3 linked regions of the Mus musculus genome follow. The protein of the gene in region 1 interacts with the protein of each later gene in a biochemical or structural test. Links are inferred from orthologs where the notes say so. Each region holds a gene or a part of one and is shown on either strand. Other genes may lie near its edges.

Region 1 (3,651 bases):
TGTTTAGGGGCTTCTTAGTTGACTTTCTTCTTGCCTAACAAGATAACTTTATTTTCATTTTAGAATGATTTTAAATCTTGAGATGAAATTATATAATTCTTGAGCCTAGTCTATCAGCTCTAATCCCCAAGTTCAAGGCAGCTAGCCTGGTATTGTACTAGTCCAGCTATGGAATGTGAGCAGCCATAGCAAAGAGCTATGGGAATGAAGGCCAGGTCTGGCCACTTTCACGAAACAGGCCCATCTGTAGGTTACACAGCTCATACCAGTGTCTCTAATACTGGTAAAAGGCTTGTGTCTCTGGCATATGGCTCTCAATCTGTGGTTTATCACTTGAACCTGAATCCATACACTTAGAGGACTATTCCACTTATCTCTAGAAGTTCTAGAATCAATCATTCCAAAACAATGCCCCCATCTGTGGCCGAGACTTCTAGACATAAGCTGATGGCACAAGAAGGAAGTGGATGCGATGCATTAGTGACATAGTAGTCTCGCTGTGGCTGGGAAGAACGTGTGGATTCTTTTCTCCAGAGGTGGCTCTTTCCCCACCCCCAACCCCATTCCTGTTTTTAATATGAACTCACTGTCTTGTGCATGCTAGCACTCGGCTACTGAGCTGTGTCGCAGCCCCAAGATATTTTATTATAATCCAGTCCTTTAAAAGATGTGGCCTTTGTGCATCTCAAAAATCCCTTCCTTTCAGGGCTAGAGAGGTTGAGAGCACTGACTGCTGTCCCAGAGGACCCAAGTTCCATTCCCAGCTCACAGCTGTTCAGGCACACACACAAGCATTCAGACAAAGCACCCAGGTGCATAAATTAAATAAATGTTAGAAAATACTTGTTTTAATTCTTTCTTTTCATTGTTTCATGATCTTACACTACTGAAATGTCTTTTTGGAGTGGAGGGGGTTATATGCCCCTTGCTTAAATGGAGAGCGTGGCCAAGCTGATTTACCCATTTTGACCATGCCATCTGAAGTCCCAGCAGATCAGAACCACTGTGTATACAATCTGTATGTGTATGCATACAAGCTCATCAGCTCACTCTGCTTCTCTCTCTCCTCAGGGGTCTGACGAAGGCAGCAGCCCTCAGGATCCTGTATGACACTACATCATGAGTGACAGTAAAAGCGATGGTCAGTTTTACAGTGTGCAGGTGGCGGACTCAACTTTCACTGTTCTAAAACGTTACCAGCAACTGAAACCGATCGGCTCTGGAGCCCAAGGAATTGTTTGGTAAGTCTGGGCTGTTCTAATAGCACAGACGAAGCCTTTAGTAAAAAGTGAAACTACTGAGTAAGACTTTAGTAGCACTGATTAAAAAAATAATCTCTCTTGTAGAATTTGAGCTAAACTAAATCAGTCCTTGCTGTAGTTATATACAGTCATGTGTAGGATACAAACTCAATTTTTCATTTGCTCTGTTGTTGGCTTTATTGATTTATTTGTTTGTTATCTTTTCATTTGCCTTGCCATTATGATATCAGAATGATTGGTGTAACCGGAATTTGGCGTTTTATTCATTTCTTCATCATGGCCACCTTCTCCCCCCTCCTCCTTTTATTCCCAATCACTCCTGTTCATTTCCAGGCGCCATCATTGCAGTGCCTTGCCATTCAATGGCAGGATGAGGCCAGGCAGTGTCATTATCACACCATGGATTAACCAGGAAGGGATGCTGTGTGAGGGGTTGGGCTGGCCGTCTCTTCTTTGGTGTCTCTCTTCAACTATGTGTCCAGCCCAGGACGTCAGAACCATTAGTCTGACCCTGAACCTTAGGCTCTTGCATGGTAAGACAGTCAGCTGCTGCGACATCACTGGCCAGACAAAGGTAACGTTTCTCACGTGTTTTCTAGACCTCTGTTGTCAGCACCTCCCAAACTTTTTAGTCTGTAGTGTTCTGAACAAAGCTTTTTTTCCCCCCTGCTAATCAACAAGATTATTTTTTGTCTTTAAAAGAAATTGCGATTGCTGGTGATTGCCGGGTGTGGTGGTTCATGCCTTTAATCCCCATACTTGGGAGGCAAAGGCAGGTGATCTCTTTGAGTTCAAGGCCAACCTGGACTACAAAGTGCATCCAGGACAGCTAGAGCTACACAGAAAAACCCTCTCTCAAAAACCCAGAATATATAAATAAAATACTGTGATAAGATAAAAACATTTCATGTTTATAACTGGTAGGCCAAGAGAATTGAAAATGAAAGAACTCTCCCAGGCATTCTGGGAGGAGAGCTTTGGTTTCCTGTGACGACACTGAGCCTAGCGTCATCAGTGGGTTCAGCTGAGACTCCGCTGCAGACTGATCAGGGAGACCTGCCTGCTCTTTTCCTCAGTGAGGGCAGCCGGGGCCCTGGTGCTCGGGATTGCAGATTAGGAGGCTCAGAGGAGAGACTGAGGAAGGAGAAGGCGCTACATGAAAGAGTGTGTGCACAGTGGGGGCTTAACAGTGAAAATGTGCTTTAGTGCAGATAGAATGTCCTTTCTCTCAACTGCTCAGGAGCAGAGTATTTCTGAGTTTAGACTTTTCTCACATTTTTCAGTATTTGTGTTTACTGATAGGCATCTGTAATTCCAAAATCTGAAATCTGAAATTCTCCAAAATCTAGCACCATGATAGAAAATTATAGAAAGAATATTATATATTTGCTTGATTGTAACCTTTCTTATTTGGAATTAATAATTTGATAAGAGGATTGCCGAAGGGGAACAGGAATTACTTTGGGGGCGTTTACTTTAGTGAAGTGAATAGTGTATATTATATAACCATGCCATCCTCCGTGACCCTCTCTGTATATGTAATGCAGTTGAGGACAAGGAAGGCTCATTGACTTTTGTCTCCCATGGGTTCAGGGGGTAGGTCTAGGTCTAAAGCAGTTGTTGGTGTCTTGGGACTTTAATTCACTTAGTTAAAGCTTGATGACTTTGAATCACTGATATTTTTTATATGACCAGGGCTCTGACCCAATCTCTGTTCAGGATCTTCATAATGATGAATAAATCAATATTAATAAAATTCCTTAGAATCTCTCAATAAATTATATTCATCTCCATAGGACACTGATTACATTCAAGAACTGTGTAGGGCTAGAGAGGAAGCTCAATGGTAGAGCACTTGTCTAGCATGTGAAAGTACCTGAGTTTCTTGCCAGCACCAAACAGAAACATGTATACATATGTATGTTATATGTATTTAAATATACATACATGAATTTGTGCACATGTATATATATTCATGTGTACATACTTATATATATATTTATATATATACTTGAATACATATGCAGACATATACAGATATACCCATACATACCTACATATACATACATATGTACACACATGCTTCCATACACATATATATATATATATATATATATATACATATATGTGTGTATGTATGTGTATACATATATATGTATATATACTCACTTTAATTTTATAACTGTAGCTGAGAGTTTTATAGTACCCACCCACCTTAAGTTCTAACATAGGAAAGTAAAACTTCAGAAGTGATTGTACCTCTCCCCTCCCCCTTTCTACTTTTGTATTTATCCTTTGGTATCAGATAGGATAGGAGGGTGATCTGGTAATGGCACATTCCTATAAAACAAACCAAAAAAGTTTACTTTTGCTAAAATAAACTCAACAG
Region 2 (3,751 bases), on another chromosome or scaffold:
TGACTTTATGCTTTACTCTCTTTTGTCGCCTTTAGAACCTTGGCCCTGCTCCTCACAATTCCTTTTCCTAGATATTTGTATCTGTGCCCTTTGTCTTACCATAAAGAATGGACTGAATGGGCTGAAGATGAGATTCAATTGGTAGCATGCTTGCCTGTCACACATGAAACTTAAAATTCAGTCCCCAGTACTGTGTACATAAGCTAGGTGTGTGGCACACCTGTGACTTCAAGAGATAGAGGCAGAAGGATTTAAGTTTAAGGTAATCCTGGGCTACATGAGACACTTGAAACAAATTTTTACAGTTCCAGTTCAAAGTAATTTGTTTCCATGGCCGTCAGCTTTTTACTTCAGATCTTAAGGTTTATTGTCTCTCACAGTCCAGTGGTCATCCAGGTACCCTAAATAACACTACTGCCCAACCCTTGACTTGGTCCCTAAATCGTAGTTCTAATAGTTCTACTTTCAACAGTATGCAGAGATCCTGCCCTCCCTGCTACAGCCCCTACAGTCCCTAGGTTTAAGTCCAGTCATAGATCACTAAGAACCTAAATCCACCCTTACAACTGACTGTGGCTAGACTCTGCCCTTGTAGACAGTTAATTTCCACCTCTCATATACATTTCCTCTGTATATCCGGCAGCCATTCCGGCCTCCACCTTTTGCTGAATTCAAAGTTAGTTTTTGCCTAGCTAATTACCCATAGCGTTACCCTACCCCCCTCCACAGAGTTGAGTCCTACCCTGCTGCTATGGCCCTTTCTAAATAAGTCCTGTTTCTGCTGAACGGTATGGTGTACAGCACCACCTACTTTGGTGTTTTGGCCACTGTCTGGGAGAATCCTCCAATCAGCTGAAAACAGCCCATCACCACCCCTCCATCCTCTGGGACTGTCTGTCTGCCATCAATCTCACTTAAGCCAATCGGTGTGAACTGGGCGACCTCCCCATCCCTCCTCAAACCTTGGCACTTGGCAGTCCTCCTTGACCCAATCGGCGTGAGGCACTAGCGCCGCCCAACACCTCTATAGATTCAGTTGGCCACCCGCAGTCCATCAATCCCTTTTAAGCCAATTGTGTTACAGCTCTGTTAGTATTCCTCCACCACCCAGGCCCCTGTGCTTAGGATCCTTGGCATTTTGTCCAATCAGCAAGCAGGAGGACGCTTGGCTCCTCCCATGAGAGCCCACGTGAGCGGTGGGGAAACGCAGGGGCGGCTTCTGGTTGCTGCTTCTGCTGTCGCCGCCACCACCGCCGCCGCCTTGGAACCGGGGCCTGGGGGGCGGTGGGGCCTCGTATGGAGCCCCCGCCCCCCGGAGCTGCCACTGCCACCGCCGCGCCACTCGCAGGTGAGCCCAGGCCCACAAGGTGGAGGACCCTGTCCATGACCCCACGTATCCTCACCCCCGCGCAAGGGATGTGGTTTGGCCCAGCCTGCTGGTATTTGGCTCCACTACCATCAACTGATTGCCCCTGTGTGTGCATTGCCTGCTCCTTTTGCCCTTTATAGTAGATCTGAACGTGGGCTAACATCCTGCTGTCTGTATAATGGATCTGTCTGTGAGCTTATGATTTTCCCCACCCCAACTTAATGGACTCGTCCGTGGTCTTGCCCTCCCCAACCCCCACTTATTGGAAACCAGTCTGTTGCATTGTCCAGTCCCCCTTTAGTCGTAGCTGTGTCTAAAGTGTTTCCATTTCCCCTAGCCTCAAATTTAAGGGGAACCTTCTGTGGCTTTGTTTACTGAACCCCTCATGTTTATTGTAGTGAATCAATCTGTGGCACTGTTCCCACTTAAGACACCCCATTGTTTGTTCAACAGTGAGTCCACCTAAGTTTACATTATTGCCCCCCTTGAGTCCCCAGTGCATAAGCCCATGACTTTATCCACCTCCTCCCATTGCCCCCATCTTACTGTGAATTAGTTTGCATGCTTGCATTCATATTCCTCTAGTTATCACCGCCCTAACTTTTCTCCCTTATTTGTAGACTCCAGTCTTTGAGCTGCTTCCTTTTAACAGTGGGTCAGTTTGGTGCTTTGCAATTTTTATTTTCATTTTCAACAGCCCAGTCTATGGCCTTGTCCTATCCTTCACTTTAATTAATTATTATGTGATGGCTTTTCTTCTCTGCGGTTGTATAGGTATCAGCTTAAACCACATCTCACTTTTGTAATGAATGAGTCTGTTCAGAAGCCTTCTGCCACCCCAGTGTTTACAGTCTCTCAAATCCTCAGAGCTTGCAATCCCTCCCCAAAGGGGATAGATAGGCTTTGTACTTTATTTCCCTCCTCCTCCTCCTATGTATTGGGTCAGTCTTCTCTGCCCCCATCTCCTAGGAAGTCCTGTGTACTTGTAAAACCCAGGGACTTTTAATATATGCCATGTTCCTCATAAACTCTCTTTTTGTTTGTTTGTTTTTTGTTTTGTTTTTGTTTTTTGTTTTTTTTTCAAGACAGGGTTTCTCTGTATAGCCCTGGCTGTCCTGGAACTCACTCTGTAGACCAAGCTGGCCTCGAACTCAGAAATCCGCCTGCCTCTGCCACCCAAGCGCTGGGATTAAAGGCGTGTGCCACCACTGCCCAGCCCTCATAAACACTCTTAGCCACTAGGCATTTTACTTTGCTATAGTTCTCAACTATAGTAGTGGTACTATTGCTAATGACAGTCGGATCTAACTTTATACTTTACACTTGCTGTGTACCAGGCAGTATTCTATAGTCTCCAGCTTGCTTATAGTCTCCAGTCTTCATCATAGCCCTGTGAGACAGATAACTGAGAAAACTAGGGCATGTGGGTTCACAGATGGCCCAATAACTACTTAGATAGGGGAACACTTTTGACATGCCCCTCTCTCACCTCATTGCATCCCATATGAGGGCACATTCCTTAACAGCCAAATTAGTTTCAATCACCCAGCTTTTGTTTCTGCTGTTCTTTCTGACAACAGAGCTGTCTCCATTCTACTCTGTTCTCAGGACCCATCAGCTCAAGTCCTAGCAGTGGTGTGACTTTACATGAATGACTTAACTACTTTCTTCCTGTACTGGGCTAAAATGGGGGAGTCAGAACTATAGCCTTTCCAGTGTGAAAAAAATGTGTGGGTTAAACAAGTCACCTCACTGACCTTATCTCTTTCATCTCCACATTTCAGATCCATGCTATAGCCATGCTAACCTCACTGCTTCTCAAAAACAGCCGGTACAGGCCAGCCTCAGGGCCTTTGCATTAGCTCTTCTTTCTCCATTAACACTACTCCCACATCTCTGTATGGTAACTTTCAAGGTACTGTACACTTGCCATACCCAAAGGAATTTTTTCACTACCCTGTGCAGGGAACACACTAAAGATATTTGTAAGAATGTCATTTGATTTGTGAATAAAATGAGCGTAAAGGAAATGTGATGTTGGTGATATGAAAAGGCACAAATAGAAAAGATGTTTCAGAGAGTGCTTTCATGTCTTTGCATCTTGGGTAGTGTAATTTTAGTAAAACATGTATTTGTCACACTGGTGCTTGGGATATAATGTATAAAGGTATATACATAAAAAGGTTTCAAATATCATTTTTTGTATCAAAGTAGTCAACACCCACCTCTCTTTGACTATCTGATTTTGTATACCGAGCAGGGTTCAGATCTCTTTCCTGCTTGCTTTGGCCCTTTATACTCTGTCATGGTTAGACATGCTATATAGCTTATATAAATAGATATCTGTCTATCCTCCTCAGAATAAACATCCTATGGGAACTT
Region 3 (3,751 bases), on another chromosome or scaffold:
CCTGTTGCCTTGGTGACGAGGCCCCGCTCCCAGGCTGCATCCCCCTCCAGCCGGCCAATGGAACAGTCCTCGGCTGCCAGGCTTATTAGTCGCCGATGGTTGCAGGCTGAACCATTTCTAGATGGGGGAGATCAGACTATGACTAGAAGCGTCTGTAGCTGGGTTGTGACTTCCCCAAGGGTCGCTTGCCGAGGTTCCTCTTCCCAGGCGCAGAATTTGGCAGGCCCAGGGTAGGGTGCACCATCCCCTAGGCTCACAATGACGAGACAGGGCCGGGCTCTTTCCCCCTCGGGGCTGTTGCCACACTTCCTGCCTCGGCTCTCTTTCCCTAGCCTGTTTCTAAGGAAGGGAGTGGGGTTGGGCGACCGCACCCCAGCTATCCCGCCCCATCGGCCCTCCAAAAGCTGACAGGATATCGGGCGAGCCCCGGGTGACTAAGGGAGGGCTTTGGGCTGAGGTACTGGGCATGTCAGTGCCCTAGGGACCACCTACGAGGTACAGCCTCATTCGTACAAGTCCTGGTCTCTGGGATCCTCCGAGTCATCTTCTCAGGAAGATCTCAGATACCCTCCTGTCATTGCCTTCATAGCTCGGAAGGAAGCTATGTCGTGACCATTTTAATTCTCTGCCAGAGTTCTGCAAATATCCACAATGACCCCAACCTTTGCTAGATATGTTCCCATCTTTCTACTCCGATTACCTCAGCGTCCCCAGGACCTTTGTTCTGAATATCTAAATTGACCTCCCCAAAATTCCTTCCCTTTTCCACTTATGGGGAAACCCTCAGACTCATCTATGGACTCTAGAGCCCCTACTCATTTCTTGTACAATAGGTACCTGAGCCCTGTTGTGTCTTGGCCCTTTCCTCCCAACTGACAATTCCAGTTCTTTAAGCACTTTGTACCCGGGACCTCTGGTTAATTCCTAGGCCAAATGTTAACAATTGCCCCTGTTTTGTATCTTCTCTGTTTTCTGGGGTCTTCTACTGTATTGTCAGTTCACAAGCCACAGCTACCCTGGGTCCCACGAGACTTTTCCGGGGATATCCTAAGGTATCCAATCTCCACTTGCAGTGTATCTCATAAGCACCTGGCTGTACTCCCGCAGTTCTAGCCCCTATGTGCCTCGGCCCCTCAACATCCCTTTGCTTGTGTGTCTCTGTCTCCACAGCCCCTCCCCCTGCAGCCGCGCAGAGCCACCCGGCTCGTGGCCGCTGTTTACAAGGACACGCGCTTCCTGACAGTGACGCGAGCCGCCTCCTCCCCTTCCCCACGCTCTAGGAGGGGGCCGCGGGGGCCTGGCTCCCGCGTCGGCCAATCGGAGTGCACTTCCGCAGCTGACAAATTCAGTATAAAAGCTTGGGGCTGGGGCCGAGCACTGGGGACTTTGAGGGTGGCCAGGCCAGCGTAGGATCCTGCTGGGAGCGGGGAACTGAGGGAAGCGACGCCGAGAAAGCAGGCGCACCACGGAGGGAGAGAAAATCTCCGGAAGCCCAGCAGCGCCTTTACGCACAGCTGCCAACTGGCCGCTGCTGACCGTCTCCAGCTCCCGAGGACGCGCGACCGGACACCGGGTCCTGCCACAGCCGAGGACAGCTCGCCGCTCGCCGCAGCGAGGCCCGGGGCGGCCCTTCAGGGGGACCTTTCCCAGATCGCCCAGGCCGCCCGGATGTGCACGAAAATGGAACAGCCTTTCTATCACGACGACTCTTACGCAGCGGCGGGATACGGTCGGAGCCCTGGCAGCCTGTCTCTACACGACTACAAACTCCTGAAACCCACCTTGGCGCTCAACCTGGCGGATCCCTATCGGGGTCTCAAGGGTCCTGGGGCGCGGGGTCCAGGCCCGGAGGGCAGTGGGGCAGGCAGCTACTTTTCGGGTCAGGGATCAGACACAGGCGCATCTCTGAAGCTAGCCTCCACGGAACTGGAGCGCTTGATCGTCCCCAACAGCAACGGCGTGATCACGACGACGCCCACGCCTCCGGGACAGTACTTTTACCCCCGTGGGGGTGGCAGCGGTGGAGGTACAGGGGGCGGCGTCACCGAGGAGCAGGAGGGCTTTGCGGACGGTTTTGTCAAAGCCCTGGACGACCTGCACAAGATGAACCACGTGACGCCCCCCAACGTGTCCCTGGGCGCCAGCGGGGGTCCCCAGGCCGGCCCAGGGGGCGTCTATGCTGGTCCGGAGCCGCCTCCCGTCTACACCAACCTCAGCAGTTACTCCCCAGCCTCTGCACCCTCTGGAGGCTCCGGGACCGCCGTCGGGACTGGGAGCTCATACCCGACGGCCACCATCAGCTACCTCCCACATGCACCACCCTTTGCGGGCGGCCACCCGGCACAGCTGGGCTTGAGTCGCGGCGCTTCCGCCTTTAAAGAGGAACCGCAGACCGTACCGGAGGCACGCAGCCGCGACGCCACGCCGCCTGTGTCCCCCATCAACATGGAAGACCAGGAGCGCATCAAAGTGGAGCGAAAGCGGCTGCGGAACAGGCTGGCGGCCACCAAGTGCCGGAAGCGGAAGCTGGAGCGCATCGCGCGCCTGGAGGACAAGGTGAAGACACTCAAGGCTGAGAACGCGGGGCTGTCGAGTGCTGCCGGTCTCCTACGGGAGCAAGTGGCGCAGCTCAAGCAGAAGGTCATGACCCATGTCAGCAACGGCTGCCAGTTGCTGCTAGGGGTCAAGGGACACGCCTTCTGAGAGCCTCCCTTGCCCCATACGGACACCCCCAGCCTTGAAGGCTGGGCGCCTGCCCCCCACTGGGGTGAGGGGGGCAGGCGATGGGCACCCGCCAAAAGGCCTGGGGCGCAGCTCACACACTGGACTCCGGCCCGCCCGCCTGCGCCCAGTCCTTCCACCTCGAGGTTTACATGGCCCCCTTCCAGCGTATTTTGTATGTTTTTTTTTTCTGCAAAGAGACTGAATTCATATTGAATATAATATATTTGTGTATTTAACAGGGAGGGGAGAAGGGGGCTGTCGCGGCGGAGCTGGCCCCGCCGCTTGGTACTCAGCCTGCGGGGATACTAGGGAGGGACCTCCGCCCCCTGCCCTCCCCCTCTGCATAGTACTGTGGAGAAGAAACACGCACTTCGTGTCTAAAGTCTATTTTAAGATGTGTTTGTGTGTGTGTGTTTGACTTTTTATTGAATCTATTTAAGTAAAAAAAAAATTGTCTTTATTAATTTCTGTGGTCTCTTTTTTCTTCCAAGCTGGGCGGATGGAGGGAGAAGATTGGGCTACCCCAAGCACGGTGCTGTTTGTAGCTCGCTCCTTTCAGGTATCATAAGGTTCAGTACAAACGCCCAGACCTCCTATCCCCTGAGTCCTGGCACCAGACGCTGCGCAGGCGGGCAGTGGCGGGGAACAAGCTACCCAGGACAAAACGCGGAATGTGCAAGCATGACCCCGCCCAGCAGAGTGCGCCGGGGCTTTCCCCGCTGACGTTACGGAAGCTCTGCCCATATATGGGCCTATTCAGCTCAGTGACGCCAGCGCGGTCTCCGGGCAGATTCCGGGAATCCCCTCCCCCCCGCTCTGCCGGGCAGGGCCGCGGCGCCGGGAAGGGGGCCGGGATTTTCCCGAGCAGGCGGCTTTCTGGGCGCGGAAAGCCCCAGGCCCGGGTCCAGGGCGCCCGCGGCGGGAGGGCCGTGCTCTCATGAGCCCTGGGAGCCATCCGAGCGGCTTTCAACAGACCGGCGCCGGAGCCCCACCGCGCCCACGCCCCCTCCATTAGACCGACCCTGGC

What was found. The genes of interacting proteins can lie anywhere in the genome.
Region 2: of the proteins of Mapk9 (region 1) and Elk1, one has a biochemical effect on the other in vitro, tested with the Homo sapiens proteins (2 studies listed by BioGRID). The link is inferred for Mus musculus from reciprocal best matches to the Homo sapiens genes MAPK9 and ELK1.
Region 3: the proteins of Mapk9 (region 1) and Junb form a complex in vitro, tested with the Homo sapiens proteins (2 studies listed by BioGRID). The link is inferred for Mus musculus from reciprocal best matches to the Homo sapiens genes MAPK9 and JUNB.

Annotation. Positions count from the first base shown.
Region 1 is NC_000077.6:49,853,142-49,856,792, forward strand, and holds part of Mapk9 (mitogen-activated protein kinase 9), read left to right. Parts: intron 1-1,071; 5' UTR 1,072-1,119; coding exon 1,120-1,241; intron 1,242-1,595; exon of another isoform or gene 1,596-1,792; coding exon of another isoform or gene 1,793-1,836; intron 1,837-3,651. UniProt on the Homo sapiens protein: Serine/threonine-protein kinase involved in various processes such as cell proliferation, differentiation, migration, transformation and programmed cell death.
Region 2 is NC_000086.7:20,948,037-20,951,787, reverse strand, and holds the start of Elk1 (ETS domain-containing protein Elk-1), read left to right. Parts: upstream 1-1,179; 5' UTR 1,180-1,348; intron 1,349-3,751. UniProt on the Homo sapiens protein: Transcription factor that binds to purine-rich DNA sequences. Forms a ternary complex with SRF and the ETS and SRF motifs of the serum response element (SRE) on the promoter region of immediate early genes such as FOS and IER2.
Region 3 is NC_000074.6:84,976,347-84,980,097, reverse strand, and holds Junb (transcription factor jun-B), read left to right. Parts: upstream 1-1,349; 5' UTR 1,350-1,668; coding exon 1,669-2,703; 3' UTR 2,704-3,189; downstream 3,190-3,751. UniProt on the Homo sapiens protein: Transcription factor involved in regulating gene activity following the primary growth factor response. Binds to the DNA sequence 5'-TGA[GC]TCA-3'.